Linked DNA regions of Kluyveromyces lactis. The protein of the gene in region 1 purifies or fractionates together with the protein of each later gene. This does not show direct contact. Links are inferred from orthologs where the notes say so. Each region holds a gene or a part of one and is shown in the gene's direction. Other genes may lie near its edges.

Region 1 (3,259 bases):
GCACGACATTTGTGTCTGATAAATGAATTTACAGTAGTGATGAAAAATTTGTGTAAATAATTCACGCGTATATAACACCAGAGGTTGATAAACTCCATCGTTTAGATGACTTCACCAAGAACGAGAAAAGCCATACCCCGACCAGTCGTAACCACCAGCAATACAGACGAAAGATGTTCAAAAAGATTAGAGATAAGATTCATCCAACATACAATCCTGAGGGCATCACGTGGACCAGACGCAAGTCTGGTCCACAAGTGGTAGCCGAAGTACCAGTTGTTGTCGACAAGAAAACTGGACAGAACGGCAAGGCCAAGAGCAAGAGCAAGGATAAAGCTGCCGGTGCACTACCTTGTCATGACAGATACACAGAAGAGCTCGATGTCGAGCTCGTTGTGAAACAGCTCAGTTTGGAAGACGAACTGAAATTGGTACATGATGTAGCGATGGAATCCATCGTTGCGTCTGACATTTCATCACCGTCGTCTTCATCGACAACAACGGCTTCCTCTGACAAAAATGCTAAACACGTGACATCCAAAGCTTCGTCTACCGTTCCGCCCCACAAACAAATTACCGGCAATAACGCCGCCCCATCACGTCGGGTAACAAGTATGTATACAATTTTCAATTTGGAACTTTTTTTCCGACCCCCTTTCCCTATCGGCACCCTTTGCTCCATTTGTCCTTGATCCCTGCCTAGGTGGCCCCTGAGTGGCTTCCCTGCTTGGTTTCCTGGATGTGATCGGACTAACGGAGAAGTACTCACGAACTTCCACTTTTCCCTGGCATCCGGTTCCAGGAAAAACTATACTATTTGAACAAGCAATCTTCTTCCTATTAAGTAATACTACGAAGGGGCAAACTGTTCAGTAGTCTGGCTAGTCAGTTCCTAGATTATTCTGTCAGACAAAACACTTTTCTTGCTTTCTACGCATATACAAGGGAAGGCTCTCAACCCAGTCATGCTTTCAGGCAAAAAAAAAAAAACTATTTCGATTTCTCTCTCCTTCAATTTTCCAGTAAGCTGATTCGATACAATAAATGTCTGGACTAACAAAGCAATTTGCAAGCAGTTTTAGTTTACTCTTTCCGCTTAGTATTTATTGTCTGAATAAAACTTTGAGAAAGACATGAGGACATTGGAAAATTTTTCATTGAGCCAGACAAGAAAGACGATAAAACTGTTGTTTTTAACCTGATTCTCTCCCCCCCGCATAATATTTTGAATCGGTGTGCGCGTGTGTTTGTGAGTGCGTGTGCTGAATATTTTATTTTACTGGTCTTAGAAGACGTTGCGTGTTTGAAGTTTTTGGAAAATTTGGTGAAATTTAAGGTAAAAAAAAAAGAACACCAAGAACAAGACTTCGCATATAACAATTAACACACACAGACAGATCAATCACTTCTTATCTGTTGTGAGAGAGAAAGGATTCAGAGAAAAGTGTGCATGTCAGCATAGTTTTAGTACAATACTCCTTTTTTTTTTTGAATGAAAGTTGGTGAATTGCTCGAAAGTAGCGGTGCCGGTGGTTCAAGATCTATTATTGCATATACTAACGATAAAAACGCTGGTTTTGAGACAGAGATGGATTCCATTTTACCCAGTGATGATTTAAAACAAGGCAGTCTTCATAGTAAGAACAGTCATGGTAATGATGTTAAAATCGTTCCAGATGAAGACGAAGTAATAACCCGAAGGACTGTGGTGAAAGGCCATTCCAACCCCGAGGAGTCAGTTGTTATTTCATGCGGCACACCTGAAATTGTGGGAAATGGTTCGTTTGGTGTCGTTTTCAGAACAAAAGTGAAAGAGACTGGGGAGGATGTTGTCATTAAGAAGGTTCTACAGGATAGACGGTTTAAGAATAGAGAACTGGAGATCATGAAATTGATCAGTCATCCGAATTTGATCGATTTGAAGTACTATTTCCTTGAACAATCGGACCAAGAACTTTATCTAAATTTGATTGTAGATTACATGCCCATGTCTCTTTATCAACGGCTCAAAGAGTTCATTTCCTTGCATCAACCAATGGATCGTTACGAAATCAAGATTTACATGTTCCAATTGTTCAAATCTTTAAACTATTTGCATCAAGTGGTCAATGTCTGCCATAGAGACATCAAACCACAGAATATTTTGGTGGATCCAGATACTTTACTGTTGAAAATCTGTGATTTGGGGTCTGCTAAACAGTTGAAACCAAACGAGCCCAATGTGTCATATATTTGCTCCCGTTACTACAGAGCCCCAGAGTTGATCTTTGGTGCTACCAATTACACAACAAAGATTGATATTTGGTCTGCAGGTTGTGTTATGGCTGAACTGCTATTAGGACAACCCATTTTCCCTGGTGAATCTAAGATCGATCAATTGGTTGAAATTATTAAAGTTTTGGGTACACCAACCAGGGAAGAGATCTGTTCCATGAATGAAAACTACTCCGAACATAAGTTCCCTCAGATCAGACCGATCCCATTGAATAGGATCTTCAAGAAGGAAACACAGGAAACTATAGACTTATTATACCATATCATGAAATATGATCCTAATATCAGATACAGCGCTTTACAATGTATGTTCAATTCGACGTACTTCACTGATATCGTCAGCAACACCGGGTCGGACTCAAACCTTTCGTTGATCGATTCTTTACCATTGCTACATTTTGAGGAAAGTGAATTACAAGGGTTGTCATCTAACGATATATATAGATTGACTGGCAAACTGATATAGAACCGACAAGACAAAAGGAAAACTAAAAACAAAAAAAAAGACTAGTTGAGAGAAGGAAATATGCAAATACAAATGCATTAATGTAACGTTCTACCCAGCACATCCAAAGAAAATGAAATTAATACACGAAATTAATGTGCATACAAATAGTTACTTCTCATATGCCTACTTGTTGCAGGCAACACCGTTGTTCAATGCTATCCTACGCTCCCCCCCTTTGCATATCATATTTCTCTTCAATTTTAAAGTTCATTTCAATGTCTTTCGGAAAACCTATAGTTCTATCCTGTCCCTAATAGTGTTCATATTGGGCAGTGGATTCTTTTTATTTATGTTAAGCATTCCCTATTCCTCACTAGGAAAAGGGCACTTGGACATCATAATTCTTCCTTTTATAGCAATACTTTTCTTTCTAGCTTCCGTCCTACCTTTTTCATACCGGATTTCACCTTGTCAGTTCATAATAATATCAATACTCACCTATTAAGAGCCACATGACGTGCGTGCGATTGAGTACTT
Region 2 (4,047 bases), on another chromosome or scaffold:
AATCCTGTTTCTCCATTCTTCAACGCCTATATATATAACCACAGTTTGAAATGTCAGAAGAACAAGAACAAAAGGTGGATGTTAAGCCAGAAACACATATTAACTTGAAGGTTTCGGATGGATCCAGTGAGATCTTCTTCAAGATCAAAAAGACCACTCCATTAAAAAGATTAATGGAGGCATTTGCTAAGAGACAAGGTAAAGAGATTGAATCCCTAAGATTCCTTTACGACGGTGTGCGTGTGTTACCAGATCAGACCCCTGAAGATTTGGACATGGAAGATAACGATATCATTGAAGCTCACAGAGAGCAAATTGGTGGTAGTTTGTAATTGGGAGTGTACTTTGCAGCAGTAAGTGGGATCAACTACAGCATTCCCATCCTTTTTTATCTTTCAATGTAACCTATCTAATGTTATAATAACTGACTATGTATCTGGAATATTAAAACTACTTTGGATGAACAACAAGAAAAGTGCCCGCAAGCTTATCTGCATTTCCCCAGGGAAAACAGTCGGTATGGAATTAGAAATGAAATCCGAATGGAAAGAAAAAAGAGATTGGGTATCAAATGGCAGGGCTTATAACAGACCTCCTGCAAATTACCACCCTTGTATTCCTATTTCGATTCGAAAAGCTAGGTTTGCTTCAAGTTTCGCGTTTTTAGGTCTTTTTTTTTTCAAGTCATTTTCCTTCCTAGTATGGTGAACATTCTTTTCAATTAGTATAACTGTTACAGTAAATGATTTTAGAAAGAATAATTTACCAGAAGTGGAAGAAATATTAGCTGTCTTGTTAATAGTTTTCTGCCACACTCGTTTTGAATTTGGTAGGTTTTTTCTTCCATTGTTATTTGGCATACATATATACCAAGACGTGAAGTTTAATTGTGTTTTTCTTTGGTGAAAATTGTACCTGAGGGAAATACTGAGAAATTGAGACAAGGCTCATCACATAAAACTGGAAGTAGATTAAACCATAAAAGTTATCGTGAAAAAAATAATTTCAATTCACTTCAACCATCTTCAACCACGACCAATTGAATTCACTAGACGGTACCAGATATCAGACATAGAGAGTTATTTATCTAGGCAAGCGAATCTCACTCTGATAAAAACGATATATTACACCACATTCATTCTCATAAGAAATTATCATTCAAACCTTTACGCGACTGGGGAACATTATAACTTGTAGCTTGGCCAATACTATCACAATATATCAGAAATGAACGGTAACGGAATAACGACGTTAAAGGGTGACACAATTGGCCCGTGGAAGTTGGGCTCGACACTGGGTGTTGGCTCAACAGGTAAAGTCGTAATGGCCTATAATGAAACTAAAGGACAACAAGCCGCTGTGAAAATTATATCAAAATCAATATTCAACGCTCAAGGGTCGACAATGATTGGTGGTAACGATCCTGATGTCTTACCCTATGGTATTGAACGTGAAATTATCATTATGAAGTTGTTGAATCATCCTAATGTCTTGAGATTATACGATGTTTGGGAAACTTCAAAAGATTTATATATGGTTTTAGAGTACGTTGAAAAAGGTGAGTTATTCAACTTGTTGGTGGAAAGGGGCCCATTACCTGAGAATGAGGCAGTCAGATTTTTCAGACAGATAATTATCGGTATTTCTTACTGCCATGCGTTAGGTATAGTTCATCGTGATTTGAAGCCTGAAAATCTTTTATTAGACCATAAATTCAATGTCAAACTAGCCGATTTCGGTATGGCAGCACTAGAATCAAAAGATAAATTACTGGAAACTAGTTGTGGTTCGCCTCATTACGCGGCACCCGAAATTGTCTCGGGCTTGCCATATCACGGTTTTGAATCCGATGTTTGGTCATGTGGTGTTATTCTTTACGCTTTACTGACCGGTAGGTTGCCATTTGATGAAGAAGATGGCAATATCAGAAATCTCTTGTTAAAGGTTCAAAGTGGGAAATTTGAAATGCCTGGAGATGATGAAATATCATCGGAAGCCCAAGATTTAATCGCCAGAATCTTAACAGTAGATCCAGAACAAAGAATCAAGACAAGAGAGATCCTAAAGCATCCACTTCTAAGAAAATACCCAAGCATTAAGGACTCTAAATCCATTAGAAACTTACCTCGAGAAGATACCTATTTGAATCCACTATCATTAGAAGGAGGAAATCAATGCGTAGATGAAACTATTTTGCAGAATTTGGTTGTTCTATGGCATGGTAGAAATAAGGAAGACATTATTACGAAGTTGATGGAACCTGGTGCTAATTTAGAAAAGACTTTTTACGCTTTACTGCATAGATTTAAACACGATAATTACCAAGATCAATTGAAGCAACAAGAATTACAAAAGAAACAATCTGTCTCTTCGAATTCGCTGATGTACGTTGGATCTTTACCATCTCCTAATAAATCTGATTCCCCAGTCACCACTCCAAAGAAGAAAAGAACATCAATCATAGTTGCCTCATCTTCTCACAAAAGACCTGTATCAATGCAAAAACTGAGTAGCCAACATAGCTCACCAGTGAAAAACGGCTCAATAGGTAAACGTTTGAGTAAGACTTTCCCTTCAAACAAGAGAATTTCACAGCTAGTCTCCAATTCGTCTTCTCCAACCCCTGCTGCTCATAAAAGAGTTTCCAGGATAAACGATAGTGCAGCTCCACCCGTCCCTAAAGAAATGCTTCGTGACTACAAAAGACAATCAAAGAGACAATCCAAAAGATTCTCTCTACTGCCTAATATGAAGCGTGGATCTATAACAACGAAACTGATTGCAACGTATGCAAAACTTTCCGAAGACAGTGAATGGGAATACATCGAAAAGGAAACGAAAAGGACAAGTCAGGACTTTGCTACATTGATGGATCAGATTTTCGAGCATGAGAAATACGAACAAATACGGAAAGAGAAGGAAGAGTTGGAAAGAAAAGTCAACGAAGCTCGTGAGAAGGAGGAAGCTGAAAGAAAGGAACGGGAAAGGATCGAGCGGGAGGAGCAAGAAAGACTTGAAAGAGAAGAACGAAAGCGAGCTGAAAGACAGAAGGAATTGCAAGACCAAATGGAAGACGAAATTGCTAAGCTCAAGGCGGAATATGAAGCTGTTCAGGGGAGCTCGGATGAAAGAAACACAGCCAATGGAAGATCTGTCTCTGCTCCGATAGAGACCGATAGAACTGCAAACAAAAGAGATAGTACATTCGGTATAAAGAATGACATCAATGAACTAATCAATACAAGAAACTTCTCTCTACAAACGAGACCAGTTTCCAGACTTGACCCTGGTATCATAGCTGCTGAAAGTAGACTGTCAGCTAACCTAGAAGATGACCAAGCGTCAAAGGAAAAGACTATTCTGGAAACCATTAGACGCTCCAAATTCCTTGGATCGCAATTTAACTTGAACGTTGAATTAGAGAAAGCCCAAAAGGATTTAGTATCTAAAGAGAGACAAGAACAATTGAGAAAGTACTCTGAACAGACTGCAAAGTACGAGGTTCAAAAGTTACCCAAGAATGCTAAAGCAGTTGCAACTCTCAGAGATGACGAAGTTGAACCCAGAAAGCTCTCAGAAGTCAAAGTTCCACAATTTACAAGGAGGTCAAAACATTTCTCTTCCTCTAACAAAAGATTTTCTGTATTGTCACTGTATTCAACTAAGACTTCATTCACGAACCTTGTGGATCATTTGAAGAACGATAATTATCTTGAACCTCTACCTGGCCAACCTGAATACTCATCATCCAAGGTTGCACAGGAACCAGAATTCATGTTTGAGACCGTTGAAGAGCTTGATGAAAATTCTAAGCTGTTCGAAGTACCAGAAACAGAGGAAGGAAAACTAGCTTCTGCCGCCAGAAAGGAATCTACTGATGCCAGAAAACAAAGTACTAATGATAAGGATATTAACTTGCCGTCGTTACCTCCATTGCAGGTATCTCATGACGTAGCCGACGAGAATGGAGCATTAGGGCTTGGCATTTACCAGCCAAACGATCAGACACAAAAGCCCCACAAAACAATGCTCATTGATGAATCCATT

Evidence for each region.
Region 2: the proteins of KLLA0_F17006g (region 1) and KLLA0_C01650g purify together in Saccharomyces cerevisiae (affinity purification with mass spectrometry, with the first as the bait; 3 studies listed by BioGRID). This does not show direct contact. The link is inferred for Kluyveromyces lactis from reciprocal best matches to the Saccharomyces cerevisiae genes RIM11 and GIN4.

Annotation. Positions count from the first base shown.
Region 1 is NC_006042.1:1,561,340-1,564,598, reverse strand, and holds KLLA0_F17006g (serine/threonine protein kinase RIM11), read left to right. Parts: upstream 1-1,492; coding exon 1,493-2,740; downstream 2,741-3,259. Other genes in the region: KLLA0_F17028g (uncharacterized protein), read left to right, coding at 174-692. UniProt on the Saccharomyces cerevisiae protein: Serine/threonine protein kinase that is thought to function in regulating kinetochore activity and entry into meiosis. Could phosphorylate IME1.
Region 2 is NC_006039.1:126,892-130,938, forward strand, and holds the start of KLLA0_C01650g (uncharacterized protein), read left to right. Parts: upstream 1-1,227; coding exon 1,228-4,047. Other genes in the region: SUMO family protein SMT3, read left to right, coding at 51-332. UniProt on the Saccharomyces cerevisiae protein: Serine/threonine-protein kinase which regulates the localization and the function of the septins during mitosis. Phosphorylates SHS1.